2 linked regions of the Elephas maximus indicus genome follow. The protein of the gene in region 1 interacts with the protein of each later gene in a pairwise test. Links are inferred from orthologs where the notes say so. Each region holds a gene or a part of one and is shown in the gene's direction. Other genes may lie near its edges.

Region 1 (11,510 bases):
CAGAAGGGGGGTTTCCAGGCACAGCAGCTCACTCATCATTTTCTGCGTTCATCCAACTTCGGCTCTGTGAGGCTTGGCATGTGCCAGCCGTGGCTAGGGGCTCAGAGATGGCAGTTCTGCCCTCAGGAGGCTCCCAGCTCTCCAGAGCAGTATGTGCTGAAATGGGGGTCCCTCTGGCATTGTGGGAGCCCAAAGGAGGGGCTTGGCTCACCTAGGGGTGGAATACCCTGATATGCAAAGGGTGAGTGGGAGATTTTTAATGAGGAACGAGAGACCCATATAGGAAGGCTGGAGGCCTCAGGTGCTCTGGTAGGGCTGGAGTAGACCCTATGGGTTGTGCTGTGGGAGTGGGGCCACACCACCCAGGGCTTCCATTGCCAAGCTGAGGCATGCCTTTAAAATCTGGTGTGTATTTGACATCGAAAACCCAAAACCCATTGCCTTCGAGTTGATTCCGACCCATAGCAACCCTAGAAGACAGAGAAGAACTTCCCCATAGGGTTTCCAATGAGCAGCTGGTAGATTTGAACTGTCGACATTTTGATTAGCAGCTGTATCACTTAGCCACTGCACCACCAGCGCCCCTTGACACCGAGAGTACATCTCAATTGGGACCAGCTGCATTCTTCGTCTTGTATAGCTGGCGGTTCCCATAGTGGACAGAGCAGATCCAATAGGAGAGTCTGGGGCTGTCGGGACAGGTGGGACAGATATGGAGATTTGGGGGGCAGGAGTGATGGGGCTGGGATTGAGGAGGGTGCCTTGAGGCCTGGCCCAGTGACCTTGTGGGCAGTGAGGCCATCCCCAGATGGAATCGATGAAGAGTAGTGGGTTTGGGGGAGGGTGCTGAGTGCAGCTGGATGAGCTAGGTAGGCGGGGTCTGAGTAGCTTCCAAGTGACAGCTGGATAGATGGGGTTGGAGCTGGGAAGTGCAGGTCTGGGCGCCTCACCTGAGCCCAGCTCTGCCCTGCTCTGCCCTACAGGGCGCGGATGGCGTCAGGGCGCCCAGAGGAGCTGTGGGAGGCTGTGGTAAGGGCTGCTGAGCGTTTCCGGGCTCGGACTGGCACGGAGCTGGTGCTGCTGACAGCTGCACCGCCCCTCCGCCCGGGCCCCTGCACCTATGCAGCCCATGGCCGGGGAGCCCTGGCTGAAGCCACCCGTCGCTGCCTCCACGACATCGCCCTGGCCCACGGGGTGGCCACTGCTGCCCGGCCCCCTGTGCCCCCACCATTGCCACAGCCATCCAGTCCTGTGCAGAGCCCACCCCAGCCAGCCCTGGCCAGGGAAGAGGACGAGGAGGATGAGGATGAGCCAACAGAGACAGAGACCTCCGGGGAGAGGCTGGGCATCAGCGATAATGGAGGTGAGAGGGTCCAGGGCCAGGGCTGGCCTAGCACACTGTTGGGCAAGCTCTTCTCACCCCAGCAGGTTTTCCACCAGCGGGACCTTGTTGTTTCTCAGCACTCATGATCTAGGGAAGCTGCAGCCTCAAGAGACGGGAAGCCCCACAGGCCTGCCCCTGGCTAACTGTGGGGTCTGGGCAAGTCATTTCTATCTAAGTTTCTGTTTCCTTACTCTGGTAATCTGGAGCCAGCTCAGCACTCCGAGGGGACACCAAGCACACTTGGCCCTTTTCTTGAGGGTTTGGGAGGATTGCCTCCTGAGCCGAGAGCATGAGTAGATCAGGAGTTGTTTCCATATCTGGGGAACCAAATGCCTGGGAGGCCAAAGAGGAGGAAGGGGTGTGACTAATAGCTGAGGCAGCCAGGGGAGGGGTCAGCCAGCTGTCTTAATGGGAATTTGAAGGTGGGAGGCTTCCCAGAGGCTGGGTTATAAGACTAGACCCTGAAGGGTTCTTAGGCATTTACAGGTGGCTCAGTAAATGAAAGCCGTGGCCTTCGAGTCTATTCCAACTCACGGTGACTCTATAGGACAGAGTAGAGCCCCCCCAATGGTTTCCAAGCCTGTAATCCTTAGGGGAGCAGATTGCCAGGTCTTTTCTCCCACAGAATGGCTGGAGCTTTCAAACCACTGTTGTTTCTGTTAGCAGCTGAGCATTTAACCACTGTACCATCAGGGCTCCTTTGCTCAATAAATAGGAGTTACTATTTCGTTATTATCGATTACCAATGCCTGGCCTCCTCACATCGCTAAAGAAAACCGTCATAGGGTTGAGGGAATATACTCTGGAGCTAGGCAGCCTAGGTTCATACCCCAGTGATGCTACTTTTTAGCTGTGGTACCTCGGGCAAGTGACTTAATCCCTCTGTGCTTCCAGGTCACCATTTGTGAAACGGGGATCATAATTGCCCTTGTTTTTACCTGAGAGTGTAACAGATAGAAAGAAGCTGGATTTATTTCTGCTGAGGACCAGGCAGATAGCCAGGAGAAGAGTGTTCTCAGGAGAGGGAACAGTAATCGCTGAAGCCCTGAGGCTTGAAAGGAACCAGCAAATGTAGAGAGCAGGGAGGCAGTGGTAGTGGCAGGAGTAGGAGGTGCATGGCATGCAGCGGGGACCCAACTGGCGCGAGCCTCTCGTGCCATCTGCAGGGCTCTTTGTGATGGACGAGGATGCCACCCTCCAGGACTTGCCACCCTTCTGTGAGTCGGACCCTGAGAGCACCGATGGTGAGTGTCCGAGGTTTCTTCCACCCCGAGGGGCTAGGACAAGGGCAGGGACAGAGCCTGAGGCCCACCCTCTCTTGCAGATGGCAGCCTGAGCGAGGAGACCCCTGCTGGCTCCACAACCTACTCGGTGCCCCCAGCCTCAGCCCTACCCACGCAGCAGTACGCCAAATCCCTGCCCGTGTCTGTGCCCATCTGGGCCTTCAAAGAGAAGAGGACAGAGGCACGGTCATCGGATGAGGAGAACGGGCAGGTGAGGGATGCATGGGAGAAGATGGAAGGGGGAGGCAAGTAAGAGGGGGAGCTGAAAATGCTCAGCCACCTCCTCCACAAAGCCCCTCAGGCATTGAACTCCAGCTCCTGGTGAGCCTTGAAATTCACGGGGCAAAAAGCTCCATGGATCCTCACAGCAACCTCACGAAGCCTGCAGTTGTAGCCACTGTAGCTTGATAATGTGTCTCCATGCTTTGTCTCGTCTCTGAGAACAGCTCCACTTTTAGAGCACCTGCTCTGGGCAGGACACCTGCCACACAGCATCTTGGCAACCCCCCAGATGGGGAAATTGAGGCTCAGGGGTCAGATCACCCCCTACTCCTACTCTTCACATTGCTGGTCTTTCCTGGGACTTTCCCACTCCCTTGTCCTCTTCCCAGACTGGCCTGGCCTGGGTGGGTCTTTGTTACCCATCACTGAAGTTCCCTGAAGCAGAAAGAAACCGAGGCATTGAGAGGACATGTGACTTCCGCGGGGTCTCAGCCTGTCAATGGCAGGCCTAGGATCAGAGCCCAGCTTCCCTTAGGAAGGAGCTGTAGGCTTTGCAGGAAGAGGCCTGGGTCCTCGTGGTCCTCCCTCCCTGATGACATCTCTCTGGGCCTCAGTGTCCTCATCTGCAAACTCATGGGCTGTCCCAAGGGCCCAGCAAGCCAGTGATGCTGGAAACCAAGGACACTGCCCGGTCCAGCTGCTGCTGTGGTTACTGCTTGCGATTTGCAGAGATGCAGTTAATTAAGTGAGCACTTGAGGCCCCGAGTGCTGGGTACCTGCGCTGGCCTCAGGGCAAGCTCGGGTCCCCTCTGCTGATGTCCACTCACATTCTGCTGTTGGGACGGCCACATTCCAGCTCAGTGTGACAGGAGGTATAATGGAGATAGCACTAGGCGCTGGGGCTGTGGGCAGATGGAATGGCAAGACAACTCCGGAAGTCTCCTATGAAGGAGGACATGAAGAGGGACCCTCCCTGTCCAGCTCAGGAGTGCCGATGACATGATACTTCACCTTCTGGAACAGTCACTGTGCTGATGGTCTCATTTTAGCCCTTGTAGGACCTCTGTATTACCCTGTTAACCCATTTTTCAGAGGTAGAGACTGAGGCTTAGTACAGTGAAACCTCTTGTGTAATGTGGCAGAGCCCTGAATGGAACATAGTTGAATCCCAAGCCCAAAGGCTTCAAGATCAGACCCCCTGGCTGCACTCAGCCCCAATGGTCAGCAGACAAAGGGCACCTCCATAGTGTTACAAGTTTATGAGAAGGTGGTCCCACAGCCGTGGCTGCCCAAAGCACCAGGTCAAGAAGGGGAGGAGGAGAGGCAGGAGGGCTTCTTGGGGGAGGTGGTGTCTGAGTCTCCCTGGGTGGCGCAAACGGCTTGAGCTTTACTAGGAACCTAAAGACTGACAGTTCGAACCCACCCAGTGGCACTGCAGAAAAAAGGCCTGGCAATCTGCTCCTGTAAAGATTACAGCCAAGAAAACCCTGTGGAGCTCAGTTCTATTCTGTAGTACGTGGGGTCACCATGAGTCGGAATCATCCCCAGGGTAACAGGTTTGGTTTGGGTTTGGTGTCTTAGTAGGACAGAAGCGTGAAGGGCATTCCTGGCAGTGGGCGTGGGGGCTGAGGGGGTTGGCGCAGCAAAGAGGCGAGTGAGAAAGGGCCCTTTTCTGTGCTGACACCACCTGGTGGCCTTCTCCGCAGCCCTCCTCGCCGGACCTGGACCGCATCGCGGCGAGCATGCGCGCGCTGGTGCTGCGGGAGGCCGAGGATACCCAGGTCTTTGGGGACCTGCCTCGGCCGCGGCTCAACACGAGCGACTTCCAGAAGCTGAAGCGGAAATACTGAGGCCGGTGCAGGCGCTGCCTGACTTGCGGCCGTCCCGCCCCACACTACACCCCCGCCCCGCCCCCGGGGCCCGTCAATCCGAGGCAGGTCCAGGACCGGCCTCCCCACGGCTCCTGGGGCCCCGGGACTGACCGTCCTTGCCAGTCCCCACCTAGTGACCGGGATGCCCTCCCAGCCCGCGTCCCCCTCCTGCGCCAAGGAAAGGGGGCCCGTCCAGTATCTTGATTTGGTCTGTCTCCCTTCGCGCAGCGACCGGTCCTTTCATTAAGGGATTGGCTGGCTCTCCTATCAGGGGTGTGGCTAGTTGCAAACACTCAGTGAGTCCATCCCGCCGTTTTCCGCCTAGCGACACAGCTTTGCTCGCTCGGCATGGGCTCCATCCCTGAAACAGCACAGTCAAACCCCAGGATTGGGCAGTGGTAATCTACCGCCTAGTGACAGGGCCGCTTCTTCATTTTTGATTGGCTCGAGCCATGTGAAGTGCTTGACCAATCTCCCGAGAGTTACCCTTTGTCTTTCGCGAGTTTTCCCATTTAACTGGTTCATGCCTACTGAGGGCATGGCCAAGCCCGCTTCCCGTGCCCTGGATTGGCCTGTGGTCTTCAATTTATGTTTTTTACACTACTGGGGCTGGGCTCGCCTTTGCCAAATCGTGATGATTTGTTCCTCTGGCTCCCTCAGGGGTGGTCCAATCTTGTTTCTACGTTCTGACACCTCCTCTCATTGGTTCCATCCCACAACAGCCTGCCAATCGAAGTCCGTTCTTGCGTCCAGGACGTTACCAGCTCCCACCCCTCTTCCCCCACCCCAAAGGTGCCTTAAAGGGCCCTCGTCCACCCAAGGTGGGGGGCAGGGGGCCTTACTCTCCGGCCCTGATGTGGAGGAGAGAGTGGGGTAATGGGTCGGACGTTAAGAGGGGGGGCTCTGAGATTAAAGAGTTTTACCTCTGCCAAATGAGTATGAGGTGTTTATTCAACGTGTTCTCAAGCTGAATCAGCATCTCACTGATTCCTACCGCAAAGCTGGGAGGTGGGGTAGTTGTCCCCATTTTACATACAAAGGAGTGGAAATTTACGGGGCTGGAGGGGCTTAGGATTTCGGGTCTCTGGCCGTGGAGCCCCAATCTCCTGGGGGATGAGTGTTAGGACCAGAGTGGTTTTAAGGAATCAGTCTCCTTAACTAGCTCACATATTGCCCAGCAAAGACAAGCACCTCCAGCTGCAGCCGGTAGTTTCCTACCACAAGAGGAGGGCTGGGGTTTATAAAGCAGGTAGAACCTGGTCGGAAGTTAGGACTCGATAAAGTAAACATGGAACCCCCATTTGCCAACGGACACCACCGGAGGAATGCTAGCAGACAACATTTAAAGATGGCTTACTAAAACCCTGATGCTTTTCTAAGCTATCTGCACGTATTAACTCCTTTGGTTTTCTATTAGACCCACGACGTGGAGACGATTATCCCCCACTTTATAGGTGACAAAACTGCAGCATCGAGGTTAAAGCAAGAGAACAATCTTTTAAGACTAGGGATGCTGTCGGGGGTACTGGGGTACTGACAACGAACTTCAAGTGGGGAAGAGAACTTCCCATTGTATCTACCTCCAGCAAAAGAAATACATAATTCAACATGGTACAGAAAAATCTGTGAACAGAGGACACACTCTCCCCTACTGGCCGGAGCCTAACATTGCGGCAAGAGAAAAAGAGCTGACGAGGAACCGCCCTATATCTGGGATGAGGCGGGGCTGCAGTGGTGGGAGGAACCAAGGCCCCGCCCCTCTCGGTGGAGCTAGTCATTTCCGTCCTCCGCGGAACTGAGAAATCGGCGGGCCGAGTTGTGGGCGGAACGCCTCTGGTAGGAATTCTCTGGTAGGAAGTGGCGCTTGAATCCGAACGGCGTGCACAGGTGAGAGTGGTGGTAGGGCGGGGGGCGCGCGCGATGCTCTCGGCTCTGGCTCTGGGAGTTTGGGATCCTGACTCGCGGCGGGAGGGAGCCAGGCGTCGTCGCCTGGGAAACAGCGCGAGCTGTTGGCCAGCGAAGGGGTGGGATTTCCGGAACAGAGGACATTCTTGTAGGAGGGTGGGGAACTGCTGTCAGTTCGGAGGAGGCGGGACTTCGAGGAAGTGTCAAGAGGCGGGACTTCCTGTGGGCCGAGCCGGCCTTCAGAAGGAACCAAAAAGGCGGGGTTTCCCACGAGCCAGGTAGGAGGATGGGCGGGGCTCAGACTTGCCATTCAAACTCGTGTACCTACTTGTCCCTAGGCCTCGTCCCAGGATGGCCGAGCTGGAGGCCCATGGTCGCCTGTGGCTCGAGAGTCCCCCTGGGGGGGCGCCTCCCATCTTCTTGCCCACGGACGGGCAAGCCCTCATCCTGGGTCGGGGACCTCTGACTCGAGTCACCGACCGGAAGTGTTCACGAAACCAAGGTGGGCGGGACCTGCGCCTTGGGGGTGTGGCCTGCGTCAGGGGACGGGAACACAGTCAAAGGGAAAGCAAGCCCCTAGGGAGGTAGCTTGGCTGCTAGGCTGAATTGCGTGGTGCAGGCAATGCTTAAGTTGGTAGATGACCTCTGGGGAGCACAGGAAGAGCAAGGTTGTGCCTGACGTGGAATTGGCCATACCCTTTTGGGGAGAGGGGATGGAGCCAATGCCAGGAAACTTGTCAGTGGGCAGAGAAGGATGCTCACAGGACACTGTGAAGGCCTGAAACAGGCCACGACCCTTGTCAAGAAAAGAACCGATCCTATGGAGAGAAGCATCCGTCCTGACCTTAGGCACGGATCAGAGGTCGCAGGCAACCCTAGGGCCTCAATCTGTCAAGGAATGAGCCAGTTGCATTCAAAAATAAACTATGCCTCCTACTCCGCTAAGGATGCTGGTAGCCCAATCCTGTCGCCCGAAGCTGGCCACGCCCCCATTAATCAGGGAACCAATCACACAAGGGTGCAAATCCTGACTCTGCCTCCTCACTCTCAGTGGAGCTGGTTGCAGACCCTGAGACCCGGACAGTGGCCGTGAAACAGGTACCAGGATCCCAACAAGGGGCAGCAAGACCTGGGGGAGGGGTAGGAGTTAGGGGAGGAAGCTCAACCCAGCAGGGAAAAGGTCCCATTGGAAAAATCTGATTCGCTAAGAGTGGAGGGGGTGTGGCCAATAAGGTTGACCCATGCAAGTGCTTCCCCACGGTGTGTGATTGGAGGAGGTTCCTGGTTGGGGCGCAGCCAGTTCCAGCTCCTCTCTCTTCCTCTGCAGCTGGGAGTCAACCCCTCAACTGCGGGGACGCAGGAGCTGAACCCGGGGTTGAAGGGCTCTCTGGGGGTGGGGGACACGCTGTATTTGGTCAACGGCCTCCACCCCCTGATCCTGCGCTGGGAAGAGGCCTGCACAGCAGGACCCCAGCCAGACACTCCACCCGGCACCCCTCCGGTGGACCCAGACGTGAAGGAGGGTACCGAGCAGCGGAAAAAGCGGATGCGGAAGTCATCCCCAGGCTGGGAAAGCTTCGAGAAGCTGCTGGTGTTCACGGCACCTGGGGTGAAGGCCCAGGGCAAGGTGAGGGCTAAGCTGAGCGCTGTGGGAGCCTCCACAGACTGAGGGCTCAACCTAAGTTTGCTGGGTGCTCTTTCTCAAGTCACTAGACCTCTCCTAGCCTCCACTTCCTCTTCTGCGAAATGGGCCTGGTGACAAATTCAGGAGTGGTTTTCAGCCATGGAGAAAACGGTGTACATCAACTTCTGCCTGACTCAGTAACTACATGGTGATCACGGTCATTTTCGCAGGAGCTATAGGGTCGCTATAACTTGGAATCCACTCGATGGCAACGGCTGGGGATTTGGGGGGTAGTTATTGGGTTGGGTGTGGTGTTTAGGACCATAGAGACTTGAGTTCAAACACCGTTCCCTCCACATTCCAGCAGAGGGCAGCTGCTTTGCTTCTCTGAGCCCCACCTCCCTCCTCAAATGATAAATCCATTAAAAGGATGTGGCAACAGCTAACACCCAAATAAAACTCAGCTCCTGTTCTTATTTTCATGATAATTAACTCTCTGAGGTGGAGGAGCCCAGAGGAAGAGGGTGGGCAAGATATTAACCCCCATTTTCAAGACTGGAAGACTGAGGGGCAGAGGAGGAATAAATTTAAAAAACCAAACCCGTTGCCTTTGAGTCAATTCTGACTCATAGTGATCTATAGGACAGAGCAGAACTGCCCCTTAAGGTTTCCAAGGAGCAGCTGGTGAATTTGAACTGCTGACTTTTTGGTTAGTAGCTGTAGCTCTTAATCACTGCACCACCAGGGCTCCAGAAGAGGAATGGGAACCAGTAAAGTTCCAATTTCAGGCTCTGCGCTCAGAGGATCCTCACTGCGCATGAGGCATGAGACATTTACGGTTTCTGTGGTTTGGTCTTCCCACCTGTAAAACGGGGATGGTAAGCATGCCTCCCTCGCAGGGCGGCTGTGAGTCAGCCTGTGAGCGAGGAGAACGAGGGGGATGACAGAGCTGCCGTTCCTCTTTCTCCCAATGCCAGGTGGCCAGCTTTGATCTGGATGGGACTCTCATCACCACACGCTCTGGGAAGGTCTTTCCCACCGGCCCCAGCGACTGGAAGTGAGAAGAGGGGAGGGAGAAAGGGACACCTGCATCCACTTCTGGGCCCCAGGTCACCCTTGCCACTTCCCCACCTGTCCTAGGATCTTGTACCCTGAGATTCCGCGGAAGCTCCGTGAGCTGGAAGCCGAGGGCTACAAGGTGTGTGTGTACGCACATACGCATGCAGCAGCCAGGCCTTGGTGAGGAGGGGCCCTGGGGACAGAGGCAACGGGTGACACCCATCTGCTCCCCAGCTGGTGATCTTCACCAACCAGATGGGCATCGGGCGCGGGAAGCTGCCAGCAGAGGAGTTCAAGGCCAAGGTGGAGGCTGTGGTGGAGAAGCTTGGTGTTCCTTTCCAGGTATGGCTGGAAGGGAGGCTAGGGGCCCTGTGGGGGTTTAGAAACCTGCGGAGAGGGATAGAGACCCAGGGAGAGAGGGAACAGAGGTCCAGAAAGAGAGGGGGGTGGAGATGCAGAGAGAGAGGAACAGAGACCCAGAGAGCCAGAGAGAGAGGGACAGAGACCCTGGGGTGAGAGGTTAGGCTGACAGATACCCATCATAAACTGCAAAGTCTGGGCACTGGGTGCTGTCCAGGGTTGGTGAGGGTTGGGATAGTATCCAGTGGGGCCCTGTACCCTCAAAGGATGCTGGGTGCTCAAGGAAGAGCTAAGGATGAGATCTGAGCCCCCTGCCACCCATAGGTTTTGGTGGCCACTCATGCTGGCTTGTACCGGAAACCAGTGACTGGCATGTGGGACCATCTGCAGGAGCAGGTAAGCTGCTGCCTTTCTCTGCCCGTCCTCAGGGTTGCTCTCCTTATCTTTCCAGCTCCTCACTCCCTGCCCGGCCTCCCCCTTCTTACTCCTCTTCTCATTTCTCTGGTATTCTTGCTCAGCTCTCATCACGTGGTTTTCTCCAGTTTTAGCTGTTACTCGTTCACTCATTCCTTCATTCATTCATGTTTACGTTTGTTCTGAAATTCAACATATTCTTCGGCTAGAGATATTTAGTGAGCAAGACAGACATGCCAGCCCCATCAGCCCTCACATCCCAGTGAGGCTGGCCAACTAAATGAAGCAAGGTAAAACCAGGGGTGTTATTCTAGCTCAGATGGTCAGGGAAGGCCTTTCTGAGCAGGTGACATATGAAGATCTAAACGAATAGAGAGAGAGAGCTATGGGGGTATCTGGAGCTTTCCAGGAGGAAGTAATAGCAAGTGCAAAGGCCCCGAGGCAGGAGTGGGCTTGGAGTATAAGAGGAACAGGGAGGAGGCCAGTGTGGCTGGAACTGAGTGGTCGAGGACAGGGGATGAAGGCAGAGAGGGAACTGAATAGAGAGTACCTGATGTGGGGATTGTGGAAGCCACCGTTAGGACTTTGCTTTGACTCAGGGAGGCAGGAGCCACAGGGGGTCTCTGAGCTGAAGCACAGGACGTAAGCGGTATTGAGCGCCTTTGTATGGGGAACACACCAGGAGTGAGGGCAGAAGTGGGGGGTGGTGCAAAGTGGTGGGATGGTGGTCTGAGAGATTGGCTATGGAACATGTAGGGTAAAAGATCAAACTAATACTTTAGACTGTTGATGCTTTAGGGGGAACAGAGGTGTAGGAATGGCTCCTTACTGCCTGCTGTCCATCCTCCTGTCCCCCCAGGCCAATGAGGGCATGCCCATCTCCATTGAGGATAGCCTCTTCGTCGGGGGTAAGGGCCTGGGAGCTTGGGGGAAATTGTGGACCCTGGGGCCCCCGCTGTCACCAGTTGCTGGTGGAGGCAGTATGTGTCCCCTGCTGTTTCAGACGCTGCTGGTCGCCCCGCAAACTGGGCCCCTGGGCGGAAGAAGAAAGACTTCTCTTGTGCAGACCGCTTGGTGAGGTCCCGCCCCCATTCTTGCCCTCTGGGCTCCCTGGCTCCCCCTCTTACCTTTGCCCTCACCCCCAGTTTGCCCTCAACCTCGATCTGACCTTCACCACACCCGAGGAGTTCTTTCTCAAGTGGCCTGCAGCCAGCTTTGAGCTCCCAGCTTTTGACCCGGTGAGGCCCACGTTCTGGTGGGAGGGGAGCCCTATGGGAATGGGCTGGGGTCTAATCCTTCCTGTCCGGCCCCCCAGAGGACCGTTGCCTCCTCAGGGCCTCTCTGCTTCCCTGAATCCAGCTCCCTTCTGAGCTCTGACTCTGAGGTGG
Region 2 (11,684 bases), on another chromosome or scaffold:
CCTATAGGGTCACAACGAATCGGAATCAACAGCAACAGGTTTGGGTTTGTTTGTTTCAGTGGAAATTGAGAATTGAGCGCTAAGTGCAAAAGTATTATAGTCAAGCAGAGACCCTGATCCAGGACTCAGGATGAGATTTAGGGAAGGAGAAAGTCTTTTTTAAAAAAGCCAAAAGACTGTCTCTGTCCCATCCTCAAAAAGCTAAGTGTCTGAGTGGGTTGACTGGCTGTCTAGATCTGGGCTTGCTGGTTTTGAAGACAGCTTATGGAGGAACTCTGCTGTGTAGGTGGTTTGGAACGATGGAATCCAGGTGCCTCTGTTGAGTACCTGAGGTCCCTGATTTGGGATACCACTGCCTCACGTATGAGTTATGAGTATGTGACCCAGTCAGATCTGTGCTGGTGTCAACAAGCTAGATGGCCAGGACAGAATATCAATTCATTCAATAAGTTGAATGCCTAGGCTCCTTACTTTTCACCCTCCTTAGACAAAGCTGTCATTAATTGCCAACAGGTTGATTCTGACTCATGGAAGCAGATGGCCAGGCCTGTCTTCCAACATACCTCTAGGTGGGTTTGAACCACCAGCCTTTCAGCTAGTAGTCAAGTGCTCAACCCTTTGCACCACCCAAGGACTCCTAGACCAAGCTAGGCTCCATGCTACATGCTTCCATAACGTTCTTTACTTGGCTCATGTAAGTTTAGTCATCACATTTTGTGCTGTTTAAGTGCATATCTTCCCTACAAGGCTGTAAGGGTCACGGCCATGTGTACCTCACTTACACTGTATCCCCAGTATGTAGTACGAGCTGGACACAAGGTTAATATGCAATGAATACTCGATTGAAAAAGTGAATGAGGTGCTATGCAAGGCACTGTGCTAAATGGTGAGATGGAACAGACTGAAAGAGAAGAACTCACAGGCATAATGTGACAAGAAGGGATGGAGCCAAATTTTGTGAGGACAGAAGCTTATCCCAACTTGAAGACTGATTTAAGAAATAATATACAACTATAAACACAAAAGTGTCTTGAATCGGAAAATGTTCACACGATTGAGAGGACATGAAGTTTAAGCTTCATTACTTTCAGAGCACATGCATCTCTGGTGAAAAGTGGATTCAGGTACCAAGTACTGTGGAATCCTTTAGCAGGCATCTCTGCTACAGGGAGAATTAGAAATTTCATAGAAGAAAGAATTTGAGCGTGATCTTACAGAAACAGAGGAAACAGACTGCAGGAAAGAGAAACGTGCTGAAGCACACAGGTGAGAAGGAGCGAGAGCTTATCTGTGGAGTGGTGAGAAGCAGTATTTGGCTAGTATGGGGTGGGTGGGGAGTCCCTGGGTGGTGCAAACGATTAATGTGCTTGGCTGCTGACTGAAAGGTTGGTAGTTTGAGTCCACCCAGAGGTGCCTTGGGAGAAAGGCCTGGCAATCTACTTCTGAAAACTCAGCCACTGAACACTATATGGAGTGTGGTTCTACTCTGCCACACGTGGGGTCACCAAGAGTCAGAGTCAACTTAACTGGCAACTGGTGGTGGGGGCGGGTGGGGAAAATCTTAGAACAGTGGTTCTCAAAGTGTGGTCCCTAGGCCAGCAGCATCCGCACTCATCCGGGAACTTGTCAGAAATGCAAACTCTCAGGTCCCCCCTCAGATCCACCCAATTAGAAGCTCTGGAAATAGAGCCCAGAAACCTGCATTTTAACAAGACCTGCGGGTGATTCCGATGGGTTACTGGAGTATCAGCTGAAGCTCTTTTATGCTTGCAAATTTAATTTCAGGCTGTTTTACAAGATGCGGAGAAATAAGAACAAAGAACAATGACAGAAAGAAATAGCTCTCTCCATCTCATCCCCCCAAAATAAATTACAGATAAGGTAGAAAATGTAACTAGATCTTGGCTAGAAGACTATCCTCCGCATAAGGCCAGCAACAGAACCTATAAAGGAAAAGATTGATAGGCTTGGTTTCACCACAATTCGAAATGTTTGTGCATTAACAGAATTAAAAGCAAACAAACTGGAAAGAAATATCTGCAATATATATCACAGACAAAAGGCTAAAAATTTTAATTAAAAATAAAAAAAAATTAATAGCCTATAGAAAAATAGAAGACAAACTCAAAATTTAAAAATACAAATGGCCAATAAACACAGGAGAAAAATTCAATTTCATCAAAAAAAATTAAAATGGTATATTATATTTTACTTACCAAATTGGCAAAGCATTTTTTAAAATTGAAACAACTCGAATGTCCACTAATTAAGGTGCCCTTTAACATTCTGATAGCATAAGGAATATTCGGAAACCCTGGTGGTATAGTGGTTAAGAGCTTCGGCTGCTAGCCAAGAGGGCTGCAGTTCAAATCCACCTTGGAAACCCTATGGGGCGGTTCTACTCTGTCCTGTAGGGTCGCTATGAGTCGGACCCGATGGTAGTGGGCTTTAAGGAATATTCAAGTAACAAAGTAGAAAAAAAACCCGTCACAAAACAACATAAACAATAATACCCTGATTTTGAAAAAAAAAGTCTATGTGTGTACATAGGTATAAAAATAATGGAAAGCTATAGAGTAAAATGTTACCATTGGTTTGCTCAGGGTTATGGGATTATGGTAAATTTCTTTTGCTCCTTACATTTTGCTATTGTCTGCATTTTGTAAGAAGCATGTATCCCTACTCTAATCAGGAAAAAATTAAGCTAAGCTATCAGTGTGGCAAGAAGTTGGAAGAATGATGATTAAATACCCCCTCAGTCAAAGTTAAGGACCCCGGTGACACGGTGGTTAAAGCGCTCAGCTGCTAACCAAAAGGTTGGCGGTTCAAAACCGCCAGCTGCTCTGTGGGAGAAAGATGTGGCAGTCTCTTTCCATAAAGATTTGCGGCTTCAGAAACCCTACAAGGCAGTTCTACTCTGTCCTACAGGATCACTGTGAATTGGAATCAATGCCATGGGTTTGGCTTTTTGGGCTCAGTCAGAGTTATAATAGGAACTGGTAAACTGTACAATTTGGTAGTCTTTTGAGATTTCATAGTTTTATCCCCATGGCCACCCTCCCTGAAAAGGAGAATTAGAAAAAGGAGATGTAAGGATTAATTTTATGTGTCAAGTTGGCCAAGCTATGATTCCCGGTGGTTCAGCCAAATACTAGACAAGCTGCCCACCACTCATCTGTGAATGTCATACTGTGAGGATGTCTTAGGCTGCGTTCGCTAAGAGAAGCAAAACCAGTAAAGCATATAAATACATAAATACGTGATTCATAGTGACCTTATAGGACAGGGTAGAATTGCCCCATAGGGTTTCCAAGGAGCAGCTGGTGGATTTGAACTGCCAATCTTTTAGTTAGCAGCCGAGCTCTTAACCACTGCACCACCAGGGCTCCAAATATATAGAAAGAGACATTTATATTAAGGAAATGACTCACGTGGTTGTAGAGGCTGGAACGTGGGTCAGGCTAGAGGCTTCTCCTGACTCAGGTAGCCACAGGGACTGGCTAAGCCAAGATCGGCAAGTCAGACAGCAGGGCTCTGGCTTCCCGGCTGCAAAGACTGATGAATCCCAAGATCGGCAGGCAAGACAGCAGGGAAGCTGTAAGCTCATGTCCCAAGAACGGGAGGCCAAAAGAACAGGAGCCAGCTGCAGGAGGTGATCACATTACATCAAATCTCATCATGGAAGTGATCACATTATCATCCAACTGCCAAACCACTGAGAATCATGGCCCAGCCAGGATGACACACAACCTTAACCATCACAGATGGCTTGCATGTTGCTGGGATGATGGAAGCTATGCCACTGGTATTGCAACCATCAGCAGGGCAATGGCATCATGAGGGTGATGCGAGGGCTGCAGACCACCTGGGATGACACCAAAATGACTGTCTATAAAATTTTGTGCAGTGTTTCAGTAGAAATTTATTTTTTATAAAAATATCCCTGTAATTAGTCATAACAATAACACACTTTTCGTAAGCCCAGCTTACATGTAGTAGCTTCTATGCTAATTTATTTTTTGAACCTTCTAATGCGCTCTGGTCAGAGCTGTCTTTATTACCCAGTCACAATGGCGCTTCGAATCACGTGGTTTCGTCTGCAGGTGCTACAAGCACACGCTGTTGCTGCCGGTGTTCTATAGTCACTGGGTTTGTCAAGTTTTCTGGTGTTTTAGCTACAATATTGTGGTAATTAGTATTTTTGAACCTGGTACGGAGGAGGCCCATGGGGCGGGGGGTAACACCATGAGTTACTGCACTGGGTGGCATCAAACCTAGTGACACCACTGCAGCAAGGTCACCCATGGTGGACAGGTTTCAGTGGAGCCTCCAGACTAAGACTAGGAAGAGGAACCTGGCAATCTACTTCTAAAAAGATTGTCACTTTCAGGTCTAAGGTGCACCTGACCCAAGCCATGGTATTTTCATTGGGCTCACATGCATACAAAAGCGGGACAATGAATAAGGAAGACCGGAGAACTGATGCATTTGAATTACGGTATTGGTGAAGAATATTGAATGTACCATGGACTGCCAGAAGAACATACAAATCTGTCTTGGAAGAAGGACTGTGTTTCACTACTTTGGACGTGTTATCAGGAGGGACCTGTTCCTGGAGAAGCACACCACGCTTAGTAAAGCAGAGGGTCAGCGAAGAAGAGGAAGACCCTCAACAGATGGATTGACATAGTGGTGACAACAATTGTGAGGAAGGCACAAGACCAGGCAGTGTTTCTTTCTGTTGTACATAGGTCACTATGAGTCGGAACCAACTCGAGGCCACCTAACAACAGACTAGCTGTCTAATCTAAAGTAATTAAATCACCTTCCATAATGCAATCAATCATTAGTTGGATGGAGAGTTTCCCTAGGGTGTGGTTTGTCACCAGACTACAAACAGACATTTTGGCAGATCCCTTTCTCTCTTCGCCTGACCCTTCAGATCATGGGATGAAAGCCTGAAGAAATCTCCAGGCTGAAGCCTGACATTTGGATTTTGGACTTGCCAGCTCCACAATCACATGAGCCAATCCCTTGAAGTAAATCTCTTACTGGTTCTTTTTCTCTAGAGAACCCGAAGACAGGAGAGCAAAAATTAAACTAGAAATTGTACTCCAGTTAACCAAAGAATTTTAAATTGCCTTCAATTTGTGATCATGTTAAATGACCTCTGAACACTGTAATGCTCCTTATTTACTTCATCGAGTAAATGGAAAAGAATGAGAGACTTCTTTTTTTTTTGTTGTTTTTAGGAAAAAACATGTTTGTGCTCAATACAAAATGTTTTGCAATGGTACTTCACCTCCGAATGTAAAGCTTTTGTTTGGCACAAGCTATGTGTGAATAAGACAGTGACTGATGGTTCAGTGACACCCCTCGTGGCTTCCATTGCAGAACACAGGGAACAGTAGAGCCAGGGAGGAGGGAATGATACATAAGGTTCTTTACAAATTCCGGAAACAAGTATTGATTTCTATTTCGTGCCAGGTACTAACTATAAAAAAAAGTTGTTGTGAAGTCGATTCCGATTCATGGAGACCCATGTGTTCAGAGTAGAACTGAGCTGAGTTTCTTGCCTGTAATCTTTTACAGAAGCAGATCACCAGGCCTTTCTTCCTTGAGGCTATAGGGTGGGTCCAAGCTGCCAATCTTTCCCTAGTAGCTGAGCTCTAGGAATCAAACATTTTTGTACTTTATTCAGGCCATGCCAGTAGCATTCATGAACATTTGTTTACTTGGGCTGAGCACACATAAAAGTTACGAGGTCACAAAAACTGGCCTCACAAACAAGTCATGTTCTTCCAAATGTGACTTTTTTTTTTAAGCGAGATCTGTTATGGATTGAGTTTTGGCCTCCAAAAATATGTGTTGTAAATACTAGTTTGTATGCCTATGATTATAATCCCATTTGGGAATGGGCTGTCTTTGTTGAGACAAGATTAGTGTAGGGTGTGTCTTGAGTCAATCTTTTTTGAGACATTAAGGAGATTAAATAAGCAAGCAAAAGGAGAGATGGGATAAAACAGATGCCAAGCCACTTGGAGATCTCCGAAGAACCAGGAAGCAGAAGCTGAAGAGACTAGGACCTTCCTTCAGAGTCGGGGAAGAGAGAAAGCCTACCCCTCGAGCTGGCGCTCTGAATTCGGACTTCTAGCCTCCAAAACCGTGAGAAAATACGTTTCTGTTTGTTAAAGCCAAGCATTTGTGGTCCTTCTGTTATAGCAGCACTAGCTAATGTGACAGGATCTGAGTAGGGTCTGTGATTATTATGACCTAGTTTTTGGTTGGATAAGCATGTGGTAATCAGAATAAGCACAGTGCACCTGGATAAGAAGACCCGGGTTCCAGCACGACTATCCGAGTGACTGTGGGCACGTGATAATCCTGAGGGGCCTCATTCATTCCTTCACTTCAAATTTATTTGAACTCTGGATGCTGAGGCTACAAAAATGAGCAAGATCTAGTCTCTAGCTCCTCACAGACTTATTTTCTAATTTGTGAATTGGGAACAACAACAGAAACAAGTTGTGAGGATTCAGTTAAATATATGTCCACGCTCGTTTTTATCGAAACCGTGTTCCCAAGCTTATTTATGCCCAGTTACCTCTTTAGGCTCTAGATCTGCTCACAGAACCTAAAGGCTGGAAAGGGGGCTCGGTCGGCTAATCTAATCCCCTCTGAGTCCACACTGATTCTACGAGATTTCTCGAGCCCAGGAATACAGCTGAAGCCTAAACAACTTTAATTTCATTGACCTTAAAGATTTTCACCTTCCGGCCCCGACGACAGCATCCCAGCCCTGCGTGGTTCTTTGGGGCTTCAACAAAACCACGACGCTGACGTTGCCCCTTGGCGTCCCCAACCGGCTGCGGGTACTCTTTGGGGTTTGCCAGGCCTTCTGCCTGCCCCAACCTGGGCAAGACCATTTACGTACTTCCCCTGCAGGAGCAGTCTGGGAAAAGGGGTGCTCGCCCGGCGCTTCGCCCACGTCCGCGGGGCCGGGAGGGAGCGCCCAGGGCGGCAAGGGGAAGCGCCCTCTGCGGCTTGGCCCGGAGCCGTCCCAGAGGGAGGGAGCCCCCGCGCCGCTCGGGAGGGGCGGCACCCCGCCCGGAAGAGGCCTCCGGCGGCTCAGAGGTGCCGGCAGGGCCCGCGGGCCGCCGGGCCACCCCCGGGGCTGGAGGCCGGTGGTCCCTCCCAGGCTGGAGTGCGGCGAGGCCGCGCACCCACTCCCCGCCCTCGGCCTTACCTCTTCGCCTCCCCGCCCTCTCGGCGGTCCCTTGAGGTGCGCGGCGCAGGCGCGGAGCCGGGCGGTGAGTGCGGCCCGGAGCCCGGGCCTGGGGCCTGGCGGGCAGGGCGTGGGCGCGCGGAGGGAGCAGGCCGGCCCGGAGGGGCGCGGGGAGCGCGAGGGCCGGAGCGGCGCCGCCCTCTGTCGGCGGGCAGGGCCGCGGGGCCGGGGCGCCTGGGCCAACGCCGCCTCGCGCTGCGCCTGGGCCGGCCGGCCGGGCCCCGAGGCGCCGGTGAGTGTGATGGAGGCGCGGGCGGGCCGGGCGCGGGCGGCTGCAGGGGATGTGGGCGTGCGGGCGCCGCAGCGGCCGGGAGACGGCGGGAAGGGCCGGATGGCTCCGTTCGCGTGAAAACCTGCTTCGTTTTATGGCGGGATGGCGCCTCCCTCCTCCATCCCGAAGGCCGTTCCACCCCTTCCGGGGGACGCCTCGGCGCTCTGCTGACTTTCTTCTTTGTGGCGCCTCTGGGGTCGGGTCCTGGTAGCCCCTCAGCGCCGGCCCCTGTCGCCGGTCCCCGGCCCGCACAGGCCGGTGCGTGGCGTGGGGCCGGAGACAGCTGGGTCCTGGCAGTTGTTGGCCGGCCCATGCGACGGGCTTGTCGTGCGGCGTCCGGGCTCCGGGCGTCCCTCGGTGCCACGCAGGCCCTTGGGCCCCGGCGGGCGGATCGCGACCCTCGTTCAGCTGGAGCGCACCCGGTGCTCGCGCCGCCCGCGAGCCGCAGCCGCAGAAAGCAGGCGTGGGCGCTCAGGTCTCCAGCATGTGGTCTAACGCTGTGTTACCAAACAAAAATCAAACCTGGCCAGTGGCTTCCGACTCATAGAGAGCCTATAGGACAGAGTAGAACTGTCCCATACGGTTTCCAAGGAACGCCTGGTGGAATCGAACTGCCGGCCTTTTGGTTAGCAGCCGTAACTGTTAACCACTATGCCACCGGGGTGCTGATAAACCCTGCTCGGTTCTGTTTCTAGGTACAGCCTGGGAACACGAGTCCTACGAAGCAGATAACTCTTTGCAGAGAGATAAAGATGGGTACCGCACTGAAAGTAGCTAAGCAATCAAATACTTATGATCACCTACTTCAGCAAAGACTGATACGAAGTTGGACAAGTAGTGGGTTCTACCTAGTTCAGGCTCTCCTACAGCGTTTTTGTGTTTCAATTAGTTTTCAACCTGGAAAACGTGATTATTTTAAACGAGAGCGAAAAAGAGGGTTTTTTAAGCTCCTTGGTATGAAAGTGTAGGTTTCCATTGTAAAGACTTTTGCACGAATTAAGAGAATATTTACGTTGCATGAAGTATCAAAGGTGGATCATCTATTTGATAAGTGCCAACTGCCTTTATGTGTATTGTGTTTTGTTGTCGGTTGAAAATTTTTTGTTGTTGTTTGAAAAAGAATGACAGGTGGAAAGATGCTGTAAATTGCTTTTAAAAAAAATAATGCTTTGGGTACCATATTCCCATTTTTGTAAATGTAAGATATATGTACACCGTAACAGTAAAAAGTCTAGAAATACGTACACCAGAATGTTAACAGTGGTTTTTTGGATGAAGGGATTCTAAGTGATTTAAGAAAATTTTTCTGATATTCGGTAGGGCACATGCATTACACGTGTGGTTTATTTTTAAGAGGTGAAGGGGGAGTGAATGATAAGTTGCACGTGATTCAGAATCTACCCCTGAGAGGAGCACGAGTGAGCAAGTGTTTCTATAACGTCCCTGAGTAAAAAGAATCCACCCCACGAGAAGAGGACTCGTGAACAAACGTTTCCATAACGTTCCTGAATAAAAAGCCAATCTTCTTCACTGGGGTAGTTATGCGTATAAAAGGCAGATAAGAAATGTTTGCTGAAATGAACAGTGGTTAGCATTTTTTGGTCTTAGCGTGTGTCTTATCATCACGCTAAAAGGAGGCCTCGTGAGTATTTGGACGTTGCTCAGCCCTGAGTAGAAGCTAGACCTTTCCTGATCAAGGTGATCCGCTTCCTCTCACTTGATGGTCTGAATTCAGGCCAGCTGGCAACATTAACTTTAATGCCCTGCTTGGTTTCCTTTTCGTGCTTTTTTATTCTTCGAGTTCTAAAGAACTTGAAATGTATTCAGAAATAACAAGCGGCTACCTTCACGTGTTTATTAACTGCCAGTTTTCAATGTTCTCTTGGAGCTTTGAGAACGTTCAGAGCATGATGTATGAGACTATTGGCTGTATAATTTCTGGAAGTGTAGTAAAGAGGTATTAGGAGTAAGTCTTGAAATTTTAATTTATTACATAAACATGAAAACCATTTTTCTTTTTGAACGCATTTGATTGGGACACTCTTTGTGTTTTTAGGTGAAGCATCGTATCTGTTACCATCATTTCTATAAATCTCAAGGTTGTCAGTTTCTCTGAGTGATTCTCTCACCCCCACCCCACCCCCCCACATTGACATCTGAGTAAGAACTGGAAAAAAGGTGTAACTTGCTGGTGGCAGTGATTAGCAGTGAAGATTTACTCACATACAGTTGTTCAAAGCCCAGGAGTCAGAAATTATGCATTTTCACCTCTGGTTTTGCCACTTCTGAGTTGACTTTCACTGACTCTCCTTTCTCATCAGTAAAAACAGGATGGGTTTGATAATAGCCTCTCTATCTACCTCATCTGCAGTTCGAATCCACCAGTTGCTCCTTGGAAGCCCTATGGAGCAGCTCTACTCTGTCATACAGGGTCACTATAAGTCGGAATCGCCTCGGCGGCAGCAGGTTTTTATCTACCTCGTAGGATAGTTGTGCAGATCGAATAGAATAAGGGTTAGGAAGATATTCAGTAAACTAAAAAACACTCTTACCACAATATGATCACATCACCTGTAGTGCTGGTGTACCCACAACTTGATGAAGTAGCAAAAATAGTACGTGCACCTCAAGTTCTTTACCCCTAGAAATGCAGTGGTCTTAGTAATGATGCCGAGTCCTGCCTGCCGTGTAGATCCCACTGGTGAGAAGAAAAGCAGTGTATAAGACAGGTGGAGAAAGCCACAGTGCATTTTTTTCTGATATTCCTTATGTGCCAACTGCCAGAGTGGAAAAATGAAGAGGTTGTCGTTAGTCGTTAACTTACTTGAATTGGGGTGATCACTTCATGTCCCTGTTTGTTTCCAAAACTAAAATGATTGAAAGCATTGGCTTTAAAATCGGCTAGACCTGTGTTCAAATCCCAACCCTACCATCTATTGACTGTCCAACCTTGAGCTAAATATTTAACTTTATTATGTCCCTGTTTCCTTATCAATGGCCAGTGGTAAACGGTAACTATTTCGAATGAGTGTTATGGATTGTGCATACCATAGGGTTAAATGAGATAAAGTATGTGGACAGCCTAGTGCATAACTGGTGCTCAATAAATGGTCTTTATTCTACTTAAAAACCTTAACAGTTTAAAGTCTGACTCTGTGATTCAGTGACTAAAAATATTTGCTTTTATTATGGTTGAATAAATTAATATAAACTTGTATTTGTTTTGGTGTCAAGATGTAGCTATAGCTTTGGAAGGTAAATTTATTTCAAAGCAATGTGAAACATATACATACATTTATAATACGTATGATTTTTACCGCTTAGTACAGTTTATTCAAAAGAACATCGTAACTAATTAATTCTGTATAACATTTTAGTTGATTAAAGATCTGGCAGCATTGTTTTCTTAAATCTCAGAAAAGAGCTACATTTTTGCTTATGTGAGTTCTGTCATGTTTTACCTACAGGCATTTTTTACCATCTGTGAGAATTGCCCTATAATTCGTTTTTCTTCACTCCAGTGTTATACCAAGTAAGTGAAATGTAGTGAAACTAATTAGTTAATTTTATGAACAGTTCATGTGAATTTAATCATTACACTAGTTGCCACACCTGTTCTGTTCTCAGTAAACTGTTGAATGTGACCTTATAAGTAAGAAAATAATTTTTATTTTCTCTTGAAAATTACTTATATTCTGAGCTTCTATGTGATAATCTGCCTTTAGGGGACTGTATCAGCCTTGAGCTTGAAGCCTATAGTGAAATAGCACCTATTTTTAGGAAATGTGCTTGTAAAACTCTTAAAATGGTGCCATAGGCGCAATAGTTTTGTAAAATAAAATAAAATAACTTAAGCATAAGGCTTCTTGTAATTACCCAGTCCTCACAGTTGCATCATTATTTGAAACAGAGGTTATTTCTCAGCCTTACTAATAAAGAAAACTAAAATCAGCTCCTGCCTTTAGGCTTATCTGGAAAAATAAATCCAAAATGTAAAGAGAGATACCATTTAACACTTGTGAAGTAGACTTTCACGTGGCACACACACTGCTTGTTACTAATAAATCCTTGAGTTAGAATTTTTATAACAATGTTAAGAATTATTACTTGTGATACACTTCTTAAATA

What was found.
Region 2: the proteins of PNKP (region 1) and ZNF639 interact in binary tests that used the Homo sapiens proteins (3 or more experiments, as listed by UniProt). The two-hybrid records come from large-scale screens. The link is inferred for Elephas maximus indicus from reciprocal best matches to the Homo sapiens genes PNKP and ZNF639.

The regions. Positions count from the first base shown.
Region 1 is NC_064829.1:100,303,809-100,315,318, reverse strand, and holds the start of PNKP (bifunctional polynucleotide phosphatase/kinase), read left to right. Parts: upstream 1-6,530; 5' UTR 6,531-6,647; intron 6,648-7,003; 5' UTR 7,004-7,016; coding exon 7,017-7,167; intron 7,168-7,716; coding exon 7,717-7,763; intron 7,764-7,992; coding exon 7,993-8,292; intron 8,293-9,266; coding exon 9,267-9,346; intron 9,347-9,429; coding exon 9,430-9,487; intron 9,488-9,582; coding exon 9,583-9,690; intron 9,691-10,032; coding exon 10,033-10,104; intron 10,105-10,981; coding exon 10,982-11,030; intron 11,031-11,125; coding exon 11,126-11,196; intron 11,197-11,267; coding exon 11,268-11,360; intron 11,361-11,437; coding exon 11,438-11,510. Other genes in the region: AKT1S1 (proline-rich AKT1 substrate 1), read left to right, coding at 984-1,363, 2,551-2,628, 2,709-2,878, 4,596-4,739. UniProt on the Homo sapiens protein: Plays a key role in the repair of DNA damage, functioning as part of both the non-homologous end-joining (NHEJ) and base excision repair (BER) pathways.
Region 2 is NC_064841.1:20,400,391-20,412,074, reverse strand, and holds the start of ZNF639 (zinc finger protein 639), read left to right. Parts: upstream 1-7,223; 5' UTR 7,224-7,310; exon of another isoform or gene 7,311-7,437; intron 7,438-11,023; 5' UTR 11,024-11,088; intron 11,089-11,684. UniProt on the Homo sapiens protein: Binds DNA and may function as a transcriptional repressor.